3 linked regions of the Nothobranchius furzeri genome follow. The protein of the gene in region 3 interacts with the protein of the main gene of each other region in a pairwise test. Links are inferred from orthologs where the notes say so. Each region holds a gene or a part of one and is shown on either strand. Other genes may lie near its edges.

The links.
Region 1: the proteins of gucd1 (region 3) and ngly1 interact in binary tests that used the Homo sapiens proteins (3 or more experiments, as listed by UniProt). The two-hybrid records come from large-scale screens. The link is inferred for Nothobranchius furzeri from reciprocal best matches to the Homo sapiens genes GUCD1 and NGLY1.
Region 2: the proteins of gucd1 (region 3) and cystathionine gamma-lyase interact in binary tests that used the Homo sapiens proteins (3 or more experiments, as listed by UniProt). The two-hybrid records come from large-scale screens. The link is inferred for Nothobranchius furzeri from reciprocal best matches to the Homo sapiens genes GUCD1 and CTH.

Annotation. Positions count from the first base shown.
Region 1 is NC_091751.1:24,885,533-24,891,676, reverse strand, and holds the start of ngly1 (peptide-N(4)-(N-acetyl-beta-glucosaminyl)asparagine amidase), read right to left. Parts: upstream 3,820-6,144; 5' UTR 3,721-3,819; coding exon 3,620-3,720; intron 2,847-3,619; coding exon 2,732-2,846; intron 2,633-2,731; coding exon 2,417-2,632; intron 363-2,416; coding exon 200-362; intron 97-199; coding exon 1-96. Other genes in the region: oxsm (3-oxoacyl-[acyl-carrier-protein] synthase, mitochondrial), read left to right, coding at 4,195-5,186. UniProt on the Homo sapiens protein: Specifically deglycosylates the denatured form of N-linked glycoproteins in the cytoplasm and assists their proteasome-mediated degradation. Cleaves the beta-aspartyl-glucosamine (GlcNAc) of the glycan and the amide side chain of Asn, converting Asn to Asp.
Region 2 is NC_091748.1:59,532,318-59,538,557, forward strand, and holds the start of cystathionine gamma-lyase, read left to right. Parts: upstream 1-2,696; 5' UTR 2,697-2,711; coding exon 2,712-3,152; intron 3,153-4,254; coding exon 4,255-4,336; intron 4,337-4,446; coding exon 4,447-4,542; intron 4,543-4,619; coding exon 4,620-4,729; intron 4,730-4,953; coding exon 4,954-5,088; intron 5,089-5,209; coding exon 5,210-5,267; intron 5,268-6,088; coding exon 6,089-6,166; intron 6,167-6,240. UniProt on the Homo sapiens protein: Catalyzes the last step in the trans-sulfuration pathway from L-methionine to L-cysteine in a pyridoxal-5'-phosphate (PLP)-dependent manner, which consists on cleaving the L,L-cystathionine molecule into L-cysteine, ammonia and 2-oxobutanoate.
Region 3 is NC_091757.1:28,691,838-28,697,805, forward strand, and holds the start of gucd1 (protein GUCD1), read right to left. Parts: upstream 3,902-5,968; 5' UTR 3,543-3,901; coding exon 3,536-3,542; intron 3,471-3,535; coding exon 3,386-3,470; intron 3,304-3,385; coding exon 3,138-3,303; intron 1,236-3,137; coding exon 1,144-1,235; intron 1,061-1,143; coding exon 819-1,060; intron 376-818; coding exon 284-375; 3' UTR 1-283.

The sequences.
Region 1 (6,144 bases), on a different chromosome or scaffold from region 3:
GGCTGCAGGGTAACTGATCCACCCAGGAGAAGAAATCATGCTTGAACCACCTGAGCAACTCCAGCACCAGGAAGTCTTCTATCCCAAGTTTACAGTCTGCAAACACGACAGCAGAGCCAGTCAGGTTCAAGTCTCATAACTGAAGGTGAACTCGAGTATGTTTTATGGCAGGTGAACAGACTGAGTGAGGCCACTTCACCTGAGTCGGCATCTTTCAGCTCCTTCAGCTTGTGTTGAGCAGCAGAACGCAGCTGCTGGTGAGGAATAACGCTTAGAGCTTTCTGCTGCAGCTCAGGCCTTTCATACCGCATCACGTGCTGGAAGTTCGACTGAAGAGTTGCAAAGAAACTCACACTGCTCCCCTGCATCACAGACAATAAAAAAGGCAAGTTCTCAAAGGTCCTTCCTAAAGAGGCTGATGTGTCCTAGAGGTGGTGATGTTCTCCACCTCCAGCTACATTCACTGACCCCACAGATGCACAGAGAAAACTTGGCTCTTTCCTAACAACATTCTCATCAGTAGATCATATTTCACCAAAAGCAGCATTAAAGCAACCCTAAAGAGCTTTTATCACTTGAAGCTATTGCTTTCAAAATGGTTTCAGTGGTTCTTGAGCCATAAACTTGACCAACTTCACATCGGACAGCACTATAAACCCTCTGCTGAGTAGAAACTGCACTTAAAGGGATACCAAGAAGTTTTGGCTTGCTTTTAGAATACCCTGCTGTTCGTTAGTAAAAGTGAAACTGATCTCCTCGTTGTGCGTTTGTCTTTTTAACACCCAACTGTGGAAATGTCTCCTTAGCCTTCATTAGTTTCTACAGGTGTAACTGTTAGCAGAGCTCAACATTCCCAGGTTTCATCATCAGGGTTGACGGAGAAAACAAATCAGACGGACACGTCAACATTCATTGATGGGGGGGGGGGGGGGGGGATTATTCCAGTCACGTCTTTTATGCAGTGCTGAAAGCAATCTCATTGGGTGTCACATCAGGTAAAACAAATAATCCATTGAGTAAGAAACTTTGACAAATGAGAACAAAAACGTAAACACGAATACATGAACTTATTTGGAGTGCAAATAAACAACTCAACAGCCACTCATCACTCAATCAAACAAATAAGCTGTGTTCAGGCATGTCAGCTCCACCTTACTAAAGTCCAGCAGGGACCAGACCGGCACTCTGAAGTTGCAAGTCCGGTATTCTGGCCAAATAGGGTGGTGGGGGTCTGAGAAGCATTTCATTAAGCCTGTAAAGGTTCATTTTAGCACATGCTGGCTCAAGAAAATGATTTGAAAAAGTTGCATAGTAGAACTTTAACAGTTTTGTGGCTCAGGTAGGAGCACTAGTGGGAGGTAGGGGTGGGCGATATGGAAAAATAATCATATCATAATTTTGTTTTTGCAAAATCACAATCACTATTTTATCTATTTTGACAATTCAGATGTTTTGGAAGTTATTTACCATTAAAATACATAAATTGAAATCATACCCCTTCACAGAAAAAAGGATAAAATATTTCTGAATCCTAAAAAAATATTTAATTATCTCTCCCTCTATCTATCTCTCCATCTCTCTCTTTATCTACACCTCTACCTACAGTTGAGAGCTAGAGACACATGTCTCAAATGTCCCACAGGCTCTTTCATGTAATTTTATATTTATAATTAATGTAAAATAATTTAAATTCTATCTAGGAGGCTCATATCCATCATCCACAATATTATCAGTAATTATTACTTGTCCACTAAAAAAAATCTATCATATTAAGCTAAACTAACCCTCATCTCATGCGTTCTCTAGTCACGATTACACTCCGCACTCAATATTTGTTGTTATATTCCTGATTGCGGGGAGGCAGGCATAAAAAAACGCTCCGGTCGGCCGCCACGGTGAAAAGGCTCGCTAAAACACACATAAACGTCTCAAAATAATAAAAGTCACAAAGCTAATTGCAAAGTTGAGAGCAGAGCATTGGCCCAGAGGTTCCCTGATTGAGCAGACTTGTCAGCAACATTTTATCCCAACAGTGTAGATCTTTTTACTTTGTGGCTTTTTAATATCAGTTGGCTCGTACTAGCGCTAGCTACAGCAGGCTGTGGCAGGGTTGTTTACGACAGTTGTATTTCTGCTTTCAACCAGTAGGAGGGAGAAGCGAGAAGCTTATGTTGCTTTAACTGTGCTCCATCAGCACTTTGTGCTGTTGTTTACATTAATACAAGAATCCCATCAAACTGTTTTATGTCACTTTGGTTTGTTTTAAGTCAGGGGTTATATGTTATGACACGTTATATTTACACAAGTAAGGAAGTTTCAATCGTCTATTAGAAGCAGATGTTAATGAATTGGGAACTTTGTGGAATATAGGGAAAGGCACAATAAGCAGCATAATTCTAAAAGAAAACATCCCTACCAGGGACGATGGCTGCAGAGGTGGTGGTGCTACTGGTCGATCAGACGCAGCAGCACATCTCTCTGGGGCCGAAGATGCTGCCGTTGCAGGCTGAACGGCGGCTTGGCCGGGATATTCACCAGCCATCCTTACATCCCGCTCTGCAGCGATTGACTCCCTGATGAGCCTCAGCTGTGCCACTGACGCAGACTGGGGGAAGACCAGGTGGGTCTCTGCCTGGAAGGGTTTAGAAAAATTACCAAGAAGAATAATGAAGCAAAGCATGCACAGTGTGAGTGACTGCTTTACCTATTAAAGCCACAAGGAAGCTCTTACCTCCTCAAATCCCATCTCAAAGAGACATTCTACAGCACCTCTGATGGGCAACAGCTTGGTGGAGAAAGTGGGGTTTCCTATACGGATGGATCTGTACTTTTCCTCATTAGGACTCCTGTTGGGCAAAGGAAAAACAATCAGCTTTTCAGAAATCATCTTTTATTCTGAACCCAGGGAGTTCTGTGGTAAGTGAGCCCTCAGGTCCACAAACCAGAACCTTCTAGAAGTACCAAAGACCAGATATAAACATCGAGGTGATCGCTCTTTCCAGGCTGTTGCACCCCGACTTTGGAATTAACTTCCTTTATCCTTACCTAGTATTGACAGTTCATACACTTATAAAATACAGCTGAAGATCCTTTTACATAAAGCTGCTTTCATCTAAATCGTTAATTTTCTTATTTTTAACTCGAATTTGTAATCATCTTTCATTTGTATTATGATTATAAAATTATATGACTTTGTTTTTCTGATTTTAATTTATTTCTGTTTTAAGATTATTGTGATTTTGTGCTTTTATGTTTTGATCTTTGTGAAGCACCTTGTGATTATCTGTCTGTGATAAGTGCTTTAAATAAATAAAATGTACTTAATTACTCTTCAGAAATGCCTGATTCAGTCAGACTACGTTGTTTATTCATGTATTTCGTCTCGCGATCAGAAGCAAGGTCTAAACGCAGACCTAAACTACTTCCTGGTACACCGAATCCACACAAACACTTTAAAGTTGAACCTTCAACATTGATACACAGTAAAATAATCGCCTTAATCCAAACAGCGTCCTGTTACACTTCCATTAGCTTCACTTTGTCGACAAAGCGTTAATTCGTTGTGTGTATAAGAGTATTTCAGTGAAACCTAACACGATTGTTTAATTTGCAGCTTTACCTTAAAATGTTGTCCGCGTACGTGAGCAGCAATTTAGAGACGTCCAGGAACACATCTCTTGGGTTCTTACACAACGTTGAGACCGCTGGTGAAGGATACATTTTAGAGTAATTAGAAAAACTGAAACGTTTTTCACTGAAACTCCTATAAATGCTAATGCTTAGCTGCCTGGGGTCCTGACAACACGTGTCCTAGCATCGCCTGACTAAATTTGTCGAAGCTTTTATAAATATTTAAGAAATATGCAGCTATAAATATACGTCATACAAGTACAAATTTATGCCGCGTTAAAAAAGTATAATGAAGTACTGATAATTGTTTTTTGGGGCCTGCTTTGGTTTATAAATTAAAGGTTACGCATCATGGCGTTAGCTGCTACTACCTAAGACTAGCTAAAAACAAATCCTCGGGTGTCATGATGGACTAGTTATTTCACGTATGTTTTTATAAGAATCTCTACCAATTTGAGTGTTTTTGCGTAAGGAAAGTTCGCCTTTTGCTTGTAAATCTTCCTTATGCTCTCAGTAAGCCATTTACTGAAGCTTCCGGTTTGCTGTCTTAGTTAAAATCGTAGAATGTCTTTTCTGTCTCTGTCCTATTGGGCCAAAATCCACCAGAGACCACACAGTTTAGGGACTCTGCTTCACAAATCCCTGTTTAGTCCGAACCAGGACTCTAGGCACCAGTTCAGTGGGCAGCAGTCTCAAAGGAGGGTTGTTATTACTGGACTAGGGTTGGTGTCCCCACTGGGGACAGGGACTGGCCTTCCCTGGGAGAACCTGATCAAAGGACAGACTGGGGTTGTTGCTCTGGACTCAGAAGAGTACAAGACTATCCCCTGTAAAGTGGCGGCTCTGGTTCCTAGGGGCACTGGTGAGGGGCAGTTTTGGGGAGAAAAGTTTGCCTCTCGAGGGGAAATCAATTCAATGTCACCAGCGACCCTCATGGCCCTTGGAGCTGCTCAACTGGCGCTGGAGGACTCAGGGTGGTACCCTGAAAGCCCAGAAGAGCAGCTGAACACGGGGGTAGCAGTAGGCATGGGTATGGTGTCACTGGATGAGATTGCCCGGACTTCTGCTGCCTTCACAGAAAAGGGCTACAACAAAGTTAGCCCCTTCTTTGTTCCTCGTATCCTGGTCAACATGGCTGCTGGGCACATAAGCATCAAACACAAATTGAAGGGTCCCAACCATGCTGTGTCCACAGCATGCACCACAGGCGCTCATGCCATCGGTGATGCAAGCAGGTTCATTGCCCATGGGGATGCAGTTGCTATGGTTACAGGGGGAACAGAATCCTGTGTAGGGCCGCTCTCAGTAGCTGGCTTTGCCAGAGCACGTGCACTCGCCACCAAATGGAATGACAGACCTGCGCTGGCGTCAAGACCCTTCCACCCAGAGAGAGATGGTTTTGTGATGGGAGAGGGAGCAGCTGTGCTCCTGCTGGAGGAGCTGGAGCATGCACTGACAAGAGGAGCCAGGATCTATGCTGAGGTTCTGGGCTATGGGCTCTCAGGGGATGCTAGCCACATCACCGCACCCACTGCAGATGGAGATGGAGCCTTCAGGTGAATTGCTTATAAAGGTTTTACTTGGTGTTTCATAGTCCTGGATAATCCATATTAAAAAGTGTGTTGTTCTTGTCAAGAATCAGATGCTTGATAAAGTAATGTTATTATAATAATAATTGAGTGTAAATAGTAACACAGTAGTAGCTCAGGAGGTAGAGCGAGTAGTCCAGTAGTGGAAGGGTTGCTGGTTGATCCCAGTTCCTTCCTGTTATTTCCTCAGGCAAGACACTTCATCTATGTTGGTGGTGGTCAGTGGGGCAGATGGTGCAACATGGACGCCTAGCCTTGAGCAGACTGCCCCAGGGCGGCTGTGGTTCTGTATAGTATACCATCACCAGCAGTGTGAGAATGAGTGTGAGTCAATAGTGGATTCTCTGTGAAGTGCTTTGAGTGTCCAGAAAAGCTCTATATAAATCTAATCTATTTTTTAATTATGTAATCTGCAAAGTATTTTATTAATCTGGACAAGGCATGTTTAACATTTACAAGTAAACATGCTAGATTATAGCCAGTGGCTAGTTTACTTCTGTAATCTCAGGGCTAGAGAGTGAATATAGGTGATGATAGAACATGGACAGGAATCTCAGTCGGATCAGGAAACTGCTCTGCAGGTTCAACTTGTACGGTGGGGTGTGGTCTTCTATTTCATGAAACAGTTTAATGGTGATGGTGCCAGCCTTTGAAGGGATATGTGGGCATGTAGAATCTTTGGGTTTGAATGTATTTTCAAAAGTGAGAATATAAATGAATGATGTAAATTATGCAGTATCTTTACTTCTTTCTTATCCAACCTTTGTTTGTGGCAAGCTGGTTACCCAGCACTTGATGTGGTAGTCACAATCTGCTTCTCAAACACACTGAAGGCTCATTTCACCTTCTCCTTTTGGCTTTTTGGTGGCAGAAAGAAGACAAAAGCATAGGACTCATATTAAAACAAATTTTACACTCTTCAAAG
Region 2 (6,240 bases), on a different chromosome or scaffold from region 3:
GGTGGTGGGTCCACAGTTGAATGAGCCCATGTATCCGGTTCGGGCTGGGCCTGGCCGGGCCCCATGGGCGAAAGCCCGGGAACCAGGCGCTTGCTCACGGGCCCCAACCCCAGGCCTGGCTCCAGGGTGGGACCCCGGTAACCCTCCGGGCCGGGTACTCTTACTCTTTGATTGTACATCCATGAAAGATCCTCTGAACCGTACTTTATCTCACCCTTCACCTAAGACCAATTTGTCATGGGAGACCCTACCAGGGGCACAATGTGCCCCAGACAACAGAGCTCCTAGATCATTAGGGCACTCAAACTCCTCCACCACGATAAGGTGACAGTTCAAGGAGGAGGTAAAAATGTTGTGTGCCAAAAAATATTGATTGATCATATTTGAGTGCATGCATCAGTGGTATTTCGGGGATCATTTGTTTTGTCTTGAACTGAGGGCTCTCTTAATTTTAACAGCACCCCCTAAATCCTAAAAAGCATTATGCGCCTGTAAAATGCATTCCTAAATTGAAATACTGTAGATGCCGCTCTGTTCTTGAAGCATTTGAAGAACACACAAACATGGTCTCTCTTAACAGGCAACTCTCTGAAATTTCCCCCTCAGCAGTCAGTTTTATTGTAAATGGCATGTTATTGAAGTTGGAACACATTGAAATAAATCCCTTTTCTCTCTATCAGTGATTTTAAAAATGTTTCTTTATGTAGCTGCACATGGTGGGATGGGGTTGACTGCCCACTCCAGTCACGTTCCAGTCACCTGACTCTGTGTTGGGTTGTGTTTGCACCTGACTGTTCAACTCTGATCAATACACTTAAATTAGCCACCCGTTTCTCTAATCATTGCTTCTCTATATTATTATTTAGTTGTGCTCATTTCAATTTTTTTGCATATCTATTATTTTTTTGAAGCACACATATGTGGGCCCCATATGGAGCACGTATGGGCAAGCCCAATGGGTCCCACCAGGGTTTGTCCGCAGTTTCCACAGTGGCCCCACAGGGGTTTGCCCACAAACATTCTAAACCCTCTGAATACCCATGTCGGGCCCATTAAAATCTATGTAAGTAAGTAAGTAAGTAAAAGCTTATTTATAAAGCGCCTTTCGCAGATATGAATCACAAAGTGTACAACATGAGTAAAATCAGGTCAAATACCTCAAACTGATAAAAACAGATCATAAAAAACAATAGCAGTGACAAAATAGTAAACAAAATCAGGAGTAAAAACAAAGTCAAGGTATGAGCAAAGACAAAGCCATCTTTCAGAATATTTAGCAGGGGAATGCCTGGATGAAAAGGTGAGTTTTTAAATGTTTTATGTGGGCAAAGATCTCTCTAGACCAGGGGTTCCCAAATTGGGGGCCGGGGGTCCCCACAATTTTGTCTTTGCTGAGAGTGAGATTAGCAAGAATTTATTTGTAAAAATTACATAAACTCCCAATAACACACCCTACAGTACAACCAGAACTCCATATATAATTTATATTTCTGTGTGCCTGTATAAAGATGACAAATTATCACATTTAATGTGTGTACTCATGTAGGAGTTGGGGTTGGGGGTCCTGGCTTGTCTTGGACATGAGCAAAGGGGTCCTCAAAATAAATAAATAAATAAATAAATAAATAAATAAATAAATAAATAAATAAATAAAGAAAGAAAGAAAGAAAGAAAGAAAGAAAGAAAGAAAGAAAGAAAGAAAGAAAGAAAGAAAGAAATTGGGAACCCCTGCTCTAGACAAACCCAGGTGGGACCTATGGCTTGCCCATATAGGTTCCATTTGGGCCCATTTATGTGTGCAGACAGGTTACTGCAGCAAGTTCCTAACGTTGTGACTTCTTACAAATATGACAATGAACCCTTCTGGTACTGATGGAGGGATGGGGTTATAGACAATCAAATGAATAAAGTTTTTCAGTTGGAATTTGATAACAGTGGGACTAAAACTGGTTATTGTGGACAATGCCTTTGTGTGGTTATGTCCTGGCCTTTTTTAAATTGGAAACTCCAAATGAACATTTTAAGAAATGTCTATGCGATTCAGAATGAACTGACAATAATACAACAATATTTATTAGCTTTGCATTTTCTAACTTTGATCATGAACAACCAACTCGGTAAACTGCCGAGTGTTTGTTCAGTTTGTTCAACATATACAAAAAATTTAATCTTCTGAAAGTAACATTTTGTAAAAAATTCATCATCATTTAGTAGGCTAATAACAACATAATGCTATCAAATACACCAGTTTGTAATTTCACTCAACAATTATGAAAAGAAGACGTTGTAAAAAATTATTTTTTACTGATAAATATTTGAAATGATGAAGCAGAAATTTTCTTACATTTGCGATTTAATTCAAATGGAAGTACAAGAAAAAGCACAGTAGTCTTGAAAAATTACCCAAGCTCTCCTGCTCGCGTATTAGTTGTAGTTCTTCCTCCCCCTGCCTTTTAAGAATGGGACTACAACCTGACTTCACTTTTTCAACAATGCATACAATTTATTTTAAGTCACAGCAGCTGCTGAGACTAAGACATACCTAATATTAAAAATCTTTCCCAACTTGTTTTTGTTTTTATTTGTTTATTTATTGTTTTACTTTGTAGATTTTTTTAAAACGTAATCCGCATTTAAAATATAATTTTCTTGGTAAATTAAGTAATGTGAACACAGCGAACCCATTATTTAATGTCAGGAGACATTATTAGATGAACACCTCTCTGACTCAAACAAGAACAATAGTTGCATCAGAGCGGCAGCATGAATTTGGAAATAACGTGGGCCGGACGCCCCCTCTACAACAGCCAATCAGCGTGCTGGTTGCTCCGCGCTGCGTGCTGATTGGCTCAGGAGCACGAGCTTTCCGCTCGGCCCTATTAAATGTATTTCCCTTTACCGGTAGCGGTAATGCAGACTCACCCTGGGAACACTGTGGTTCAGCTACTTTGGAGGCGCGCGCTGCGATGGAGCAAACGAACAAACAAGATGAGCCGACCGGTGTCTTCACAGGCTTCCGCACCGCTTTCAAATCTTTCGCTACAGATGCTATACACGTCGGTCAGGAGCCGGAACAGTGGAGCTCAATGGCCGTAGTACCGCTGATATCCCTCTCTACTACCTTCAAGCAGCACTCACCGGGAAACCATGCCGTAAGTAGCCTGATCGGTGTCGGTTATTTATGGCTGGGGGTGACAAGACGTGCCTGTTAAATACATCCTATCAAATAAGCTGTAATGTTACCTCATCCAAAACGTTATCATCATTCAGGTTTTTTTTAAATATTTTAAACATATCCTCCGGTCCCCCTAAAAAGATGCAAATCAGACCAGTGAGCTGTTTGATTATACTTCCTGTTTTTACAAGGGAATTCACCCTATTACCAAAACTATAACACCAGTACTATTAGAAAGTTTTCTGTTTCTTTTCACTTCAATTCATCTCAGTGATGAAGTCAAGATTGCTGGATTTCCTCCAGTTTTTCTTCAGCAAATGTAAGACTGAGGCCGCCTACAGATTCAGCCCACAGCTGTAATTCTGCCAAATTAGAATTTTTTTTATCATCTTTCAAACATCGTTGATTTTTTTAAATTCATTTCCTATGGTTACAGTCTCTTTTCACTGAACTGGTAAATTATTTGTCCAAGTCAAACAAGGCCCTATAGCTGGAGATGTGTAGATTTTCTTATTTTACAGATAAGCCAGTATTCCAGGTGGCTTTTCTCACTCGCTTATCTAAACTCCACACAAAACCAGTAGACGATACAAGATTATATTTCACCCTAAATATCTTTTGCAATTCTTTAAACTACAAATCATGTGTTCCTATCATTATCTTCAGGCAATAACTTACTTCGTACATCAACCAGCTCAGTGGTAGTGTCTGCTCTGGGACTGGGAGAACTGGGTTCAAAACCGGTCGGGTCACACCCAATGCCTCCCTGCTTGACACTCAGCTTTAAGGAGTTGGATTGGGGGTTAATCCACCAAATAGTTCCCGAGCGCAGCCACAGCTACAGCTCACCGTTCCCCACAGAGATGGGTCAAATGTGGAGATGAATTTCCCCAGTGAGTGATTACTATGGGAGTTTAACATTATTGGAGAGGTGAACATAGGTTATTTTCAACAGTATTCTTCTAAAATGTGATGTTTAGCATTCATAGCAATTCATTTGTTTCTTTTGTATTCAGAAAACCCAAATAGAAATTCACTTTGATGAAGAAAATATTTATTAAAATGTTGCATTTCTTCAGGGCTTTGAGTACAGCCGGAGTGGAAACCCCACCAGAAACTGTCTGGAGAAGGCTGTGGCAGCGCTGGACGGAGCAAAGTATTGTAAGTAAACAATATGATTCAGCATTTGAACACAAATAGGTTTTCTTCTCACTGATGACACAAACCACGTTCTTTCATTTTAACAAGTTTTTTGTTGAAAATCCCTGCAGCTCTTGCTTTCGCCTCAGGACTGGCCGCCACAGTGACCATCACTCACATGCTGAAAGGGGGCGATGGGATCGTCTGCATGGATGATGTGTACGGAGGTGAGTCTCCCTGCTCCCACATCTGTTTTAATACTTGCACTTTCTGTTTAACTGAGCCTCACGCCCCCTTTTTAAAGGCACAAATCGCTACTTTAAAAGAATTGCAGCTGAAATCGGTCTGGACGTGACTTTTGCTGACTTCACTAAACTGGAGCTGCTCAAGTCCGCTCTGAAGCCCAACACCAAAGTAGGTCAAGGAAAGATAAGAATATGAAATAAATCGGTGTTGGTTGTTTGCTTTGTGTTACTCATTCTCTGCTTTTGTTAAACGCTCTTTCATTGGTTGTCTTTTCTGCTAAGTCAGAGTAGTCTTTGTGTGAGTCATCGCTTTGTGTAACGATCTGTTTTTACCAGCTTGTCAAACGATTGACTCCTGTTGTGACAGGACTTCTTCTTCTGTCTCATGTGTAGCTGGTGTGGATGGAGTGTCCAACCAACCCTATGATGAAGGTTGTGGACATCAGGGCCTGTTCTGAGTTGGTGCACGAGCACAACAAAGACATAGTAGTGGTGGTAGACAACACATTCATGTCTGCGTATTTCCAGGTGGGACTGTCACTCTGTTGACTCTGAAGCTACAGTTTAATCGTTTCCTTTAATGAAAATCCGGTTCACTTGAGAGGAACTTGCTGAATGATTAACTTATGTGTTTGTCTTGCACTGTCAGCGCCCCTTGGCCTTAGGTGCAGACGTCTGCATGTATTCAGCCACCAAATACATGAACGGTAGGTTTTACACACACACACTGTTTTTCACACAGACTTGATACAAACATGGGTTGAATTAAAAGTAAAAAAAAGGTTGCTCAACTTATAATACCAATAAAATCTCTAAAATTACAACCAATAATGTGTAACCCCAGACATTAGGAGCATTTGTTTTAGTTTTTAACTGGCAAAGGAAATTAAAAAGTACATAAAAGTCAAATGATCTTGCCAAACTAGCAACCCAGATCTAATACATGTAGTAAAGGGCACACATTTATAAACCTGTGATATTCTTTTGTTTTTCTTTTAAAAAAAACAGACTTGAACTTTTATCAATGGAGTATCCATTTTTGATTAATTAATAAAACAAGTTTTGTCAAAAGGCAGAAAATACTAATATATACAAATGCAACTTTGTTTTTTTTTCATTGGAAGAATGTTAGATCAGTTCTTGTTTAGGGTCATCTATAGAAGCTATTAAAGGATGTGAAACTTAAATAAAAATAGATTTTGTTATTACTGATAACTTTCTGCTCAAATGTCTATTTTTCATTTGTTTCACTTGAGTCTTTGCACCGTTCCACCAAAGCAAATTCCTAGTAATGTGAGACTCTCACTTGGCAATAAAACACGATTCTGATTCTGATAACAGCAGTGCACTCTGATTACAACATATTTATTTATTTTGACTGACTGGCCAACGTGTGAAAAACATATTTGAAACGTTAGGTTAGACACTGCTAAAGCACACGATTCTGGTTATTTTAACTCCCAAAGGAACAGGATTTTATTCAAAAACGAGTTTGTGCTGTTCCTGAATTGCTTTTTCATTTTGGCAGGTCACAGTGACGTGGTGATGGGTCTGGTTTCAATAAACCGAGAGGATCTGCACGAGCGACTAAAGTTCCTGCAGAATGGTGAGTAATTCCAGAGTAATCCTGTTTTTGGTGAAGTGGTGGGTCTGATCTGTCCTACATTCACCCAGTAAACA
Region 3 (5,968 bases):
CTTCCTGCTAGTCCACATTCTAGGCCTCAGCGCTGCACGACTGATCTAATCTGGGAACAAATACAAAAACAGTAAAACTCATTTGGACCATCTGCTCGTCCTAAACCATCCAGTAGAAAAATATCTCATCTCAGAACGTCTTCCTGCTGAGGATCCATCCAAGGTGAACAGTTTGGATTTTGTATAGAAATGTGTACTCATATATAATATCTCTATACATGTACAGACAGCAGGGGGCGCCAGTGCGCTGAAGCGGTACTGATCACACCATCTCGTCCGTCCATCAACTGTCCTTAAAAACCAAGAGGATGTCTTCGTCTGTCCCATAGCTCCGCCTGGCCTCTTCAAAGTTACTGATGCTGGTGCAGCACACTCCTGGAGAACACACACACACTTATTAAACATTAAATAACTACTTGTCTAATTATGAGTTGGACCCAGCTGCACAGGCGGTACCCAGATGTTCCAGCTGTGGCCCTTATAAGAGCAGCTCTGGTGTTAAACCTGCTTTGAATCCTGTTTATTTAGGACTTAAGTGACCTCAGTAGATTCATGAGTGTGAAGATCCGCTGATGCTTTTTTGAAATCTCAGATAACTAAAGTTGGTTGATCGTCTCTGATGAAATGAGGAGAAAAGCCTATAAAACATTAAACTTCCTGTGCAAAAATCAACATAACTTCCATACCTGTGCATTAATACATGCCAGGATTCCATCACACCGTTGGCAGAGCATTCAAAAGCTTTTTTTTTTTGCTTTACTAAATAGAAAATGAGAGCAGCAGGGTTTCGGTGTTTTGGACCAACAGGATGGACTCACGGTCAGAATAGGCAGGGTTGTTGTAGAAGACGCAGCCGGTGGTTCTGTTGAAGCCGCACACAACCACAAAGTGACCCTGGTACTCAGGTTTCCTGCAGAAGCACTTCTGTCCCACAGGGAGGAAGCAGCAGTATTTGACAGGTGAGGAGCACAGCTCACAGGTCAGGACCACGGCGTTCACCAGCACCACGGCCACATGGCCCTGCTCCAGATGGGACTGGATTTCCTGAATTGTCACCGAGCTGAAGAAGAAGAAGAACAAAATCCGTCCTGATCCCAGAACAACAAGAGCCAACAAGTGGATCACTCTCCACCCCAGACTCACCATTTCTTCACCACCACACCTGTGGTTTCTGCCTTACAGAAGAGCTTGTTCACTCGGTCTTCTTCTGTGTCAAAATGCTTCTTATAAAAGGACTGGAAAACAAAAGTGATCATCACTACTTGTGTACACAACAAAACATTTGTCCCCTCTCAGATTTCTTCAGCTTTGCTTTGTTGTCACTTAATTGTTTCAGATTAAACATGTCATCACCAGACAAACTAAAATCTATCAGAACCACCAGGTTTTGTGTATTTCACCCATGGGTGCTACTTAGTGATGTGACGTTCAGGAACGAACTGAATCTTTTGAACGGGTTTTCAAAGTGAACGATGAGAGCCGAGTCCCTGTAGGGAGCCGTTCATCTTGTCTTCCAGTAACTAACCTCCCCGGGAGGAGGCGTTATTTGGAATTCTAGGATGTTCAAGGAAGATCCCACCTTCTTTGGTACGTTCTTTCTGTGTTTGGCTTCAAATTCTGTTTTTGGTTCATTTTAAAACACAGGAAAGGCTTCTCTTTACCTTGCTGACAGTTGTGTTCCTGTCGGCAAGGTAAAGAGAAACCTTGTTTTGTTAGTTAAAAAGAACCAAAAATGGAAGATCCCACCTTTCTCGTCTCTGATTGGCTAGAAAGGCTCTACTACGATTGGCTATTTCATTTAACAGCAAACTGGCTGTCCGTGCTAAGTGCTGACTGTGTCCTTCTGCCACCAGCAGGAAGCTGTTTTGGGGAGTTTGGTAAAGAAAAAGTTAATTTAGCGCTATAATAAACATTCTGTCCTGGTTTGCACAATATTTTAGGTTTTATGTTTCATAAAAAAACCTGAAAAACGTAAAATGTGAATTTTAAATCTTGTTGCATTTTTCAAACTGTTTGACTTACCTTATTTCTCTTGGCTCTGAAGCATTAAGAGTACACAGGATAAACACATGTGCCTTACCTGGGTATGACATTTAATAAAACTGCCCCATTCTGCCCAGCTGTGTGCATCAGGTCGGTTTCTTCTCTAGAATAATGAAAACTGGTGAAAAATAGGTCTAAATCATCATCAGCTTTAACTTAATTTTTGATTAATTGATGCACATTTAATCTGATGATGAGAGATGTGCTCTAACTTGCAAACAGCCTTAACCTATTAAAGCAGGATAGCCTAATAACGAAGTAATAAGATAACCCCAGTAGAGCCAGCAGATATAAAGTCACTCTACAGTGTGATAAAATGCTACAAGAATTATTACAAGTTCACATTTGATGTTTTTCAGGTTCTTTTATGAAAGAAACTGAACCTGGTTTGTTGCTAAAAAGGAAGGGATGTTTATTACAGCGACGAGTTCACATTTTCATCAAAAAACTCCTCAAGATCTGGCTGTAAACAATTCGGTCAAAGGAGCCAGTGTTTTGAACGGCTCTTTGAGGTAAACGACCAACTAATGAACGGCTCCCATGAAAGAGCCATAAATCCCATCACTAGGGCTACTGGAGACATCAGTGAGGAGTTTTGTCCCACCCTGCTTTACGGAGTCGTTTTATTTGAGTCACATTGAAGGATTTTCCAACCCTTAAGTTCAAAGGTCAGATGTTCTCCTTCAGGATGTTCCGCTAAAGAGCAGAATTAATGGTTCCATCAGTTACTGCAGGTGGTGCTGAAGCAGCCCCAGACCATCACACTACCACCACCGTGTCTGACTGCTGCCATCTTGACCTTTTTTGATACAGTGCAATGCAGTGGGACACGCCGTGCTGTCAGACAGGTTCCGTTGAAGCGATTCTTTCTACAGGTCTGGTAGTGATCAGGATCACGGCGCGGCTGGTGGAGCTCAACTCAGATCACCAGCTATCGTAGTTAACCAGGGTTTTTTCCCTCACCATTTAAAACTGTATTTACTCAGGTTATCGTCGTCTGAGACGTCTAAGAGACACAACAACTGAAGAGATCTGTAAGTGGGTGGATACTTATAAGCATCACTGTAGATGAAAGCAAAGATTCCTCCTCATACCTGGTTTTTAAAGCCCTTGTCGACACCCAGGGTCTGTGTGCAGAAGCAGTGTTTGACTCCTAGATGACACATGAGGTAGGCCAGGTCTATAGTCCACACGCTCTCAGTCAGCTTCAGCTCCCAGCATGCTGTCTGGAAGTCCTCATCACTCACGGGGTGCAGATACCTGCAGAACACCACCAACACTTTGGGTTGAACTCTAATGGCTGTAACAACAGGAGCCCGGGGTCTCATTAATGTTCGCTTACTTGAGGACCATCCTGGAGCAGGCTAAGCCGCAGTCCCAGTGGTACAGCTGCCGGATGATGGGAACACTCAGCAGGACGGCATCCTCTGAGGAAACAACACGTTACCGTTTCATTTTAAACACCTGACAACAGCACGCAGCACGCGCTTACCTGTCATCCTGCTACCTTCTTTACGTAACAACCAGCTGTCTAACTCGGCGGGAGCCTGAGGTCTTGTTTACCACTCTGAAGGAGGGCTGGGTTTCCTCATCGAGCCTCACAAGTTACCAGAAATCACAAGCCTAACTTGGTCCTGGTGTCTAACGAAACACTGTTAGCAGCTCTGCTCAGCCAGCTCCTCCAACCGGAAGTCACACGAACCACAAGGACATCAGCAAAGGCAACTTTAGAAAGAAATACAAGATTTTAACCCGTGCTGTGCTGTTGTTTTTATCTTCCACCGCACTTCTCAGTTATTCGCATGGCTATTCGCCAGGATACGGGAAAGGTTGGTGGTCTTCTGTGTTCCGGTAAAGTGACGCTGCCCCCTGGCGGCGAGGAGGAGAATCAACCTGCAGACAGTCGCACAAGTTTGGCAAGCCAAGAAGTTATTTAAGGTACTGCTTCCTGATCTCTGAAAAACGAGACAGCGCAAACACAATTCAGCTAAAAATGAATGATCCCGGAGGGATACTAAAAGTTTATGTTCATGTTTCTGTAGCAGGTATTTCGTACTGCTACATTTCTAAACCAGTTATCCGTTTATTCATTCATCCATCCACTAATGTTTCCCTCTGACCCAACCTCAGGTCAGACATACCTCTCAGTGACGCTCTCCAGCTCCTCCTGGGGAGATATTCCCTGGTCACATTTATTTATTTATTTGTTTATTTAACGCATTTTATTTAACCCTCTCAGGCTCAAAATAAGTTTTGGTAAAAGAACAAACAACTCAGTCCTTCAGGGGTACTTCTGAGTTAAAATGCTCATGAAATACGTGTGTGAAGTAACCAGGTAGGTAGGTTTTAACTGTTGCAAATCTGCAACGCCTGCCTCCAGAGCGGTTAACATTTATTCAACCAGACAAGTCGATTGAGAACTCATTCTCATTAACAATGACGAACTGGTAAAGAGGCAGCAGCAACAGACACATAATTAGCCTTACACCAAAGAAAAACAGTTAAGATGAAAACATACAATATAAAAATGAGATGAAACAGTTAGACATAAAGACAAAGGACTGTTTTCATATATCAAAACAGACTTTAAACAATCTTTAAGTGATCAGAAACTATTGACTGCAATGAATAATTGAAGGTAGATAATGGAATGTAGGCAGTGAGCTTTAGTGATTTTTGCAGCTCATTCCAGTCGTTGGAAGCAGCAAACTGGAATGAGGAGCAACCAAAAGAGGTGCAAGCTTTGAGAGTAACCATAGAGATGAAGTTACTGGCATTTAAATGGCCAGAGAGGATGTAGACTCCCTTCTCCCTGTGGGATGTGTCTGGAAAACCTCCAGAGGGAGATATTCAAAGGCCTTTGAACTCTAGAGGGAGGCATCCTGATGTCTGAACCACCTCAGCAACCTCAGCTTTGTGCAAGTCCAACATTTAATTTACTCACAGCTTTTGCCTATTTCCATACACACCAAAAGAATAAAACGTGATTTATTTTATCATAGGAATATTACTGCAGAGCCAACAGGGGGTCAGGCAAATTTCATTTATCTGAGGTCAAATGAATCACTTGACTCATTTCATCTATAGAGCTAGGATTGTGACAATATTTCATGTAACTTGTAACATGCTTTGTAACTGCATGACTGCAACTTTCGTTTTGTAGCATGTACTTCCTGTTTTGTAACGTAACTTTTGGTACGTAATGTGAAACTTTCGTTTTGTAAAAAAAATCTACGTACAAGTTTCAAATCACAACTCTCCAAACACACATCTCAGTCTACAGTTACAAAACTCAAGTCTATGTGTACAATGATGATATTTATGATGTTTTTATTAGTTTGAGGTATTTGCCCTGATTTTACTCATGTTGTGCAGCACTTTGTGATTTATATCTGTGAAAGACGCTATAAATAAACTTTACTTACTTACTTACAAAACATTTTGTGCCAATTCTACCTTCCTTCCCAAAGGACCAATGACAGGCTTTGTCTTATCAGCCAATCACATTTCTTGGATATGAAATCATGCTCTAATTCAAAATGTAAGTTCTTCATTTTCATCAGTTTAGTTTTCCTAATAATTACCGCCACCAACTGGTAAAGAGTGAGAATGTGAACAGGTTGGGTTGTGAGCTGTACAACAGACCTCTGCCTTCTTGCCATGATTGGACAGGAATCCACGACTCACGATTGGCTTGTCAGACAACGCCTGTCACTGGTTCTTTGGGAAAGGGAGCTAGAATTGGGACAAAATGTTTTTTGTACCATGTAGATTTAAGTTTTGTAACTGTAGACTTAGATGTGTATTTTGAGAGTTGTGATTTGAAACTTGTACATAAATTTTTTTTCTGCAAGTTACAAAATGGAAGTTTCATGGTATGTACCGAAAGTTACATGTTACATTATAAGAATGACATGGTACAAAG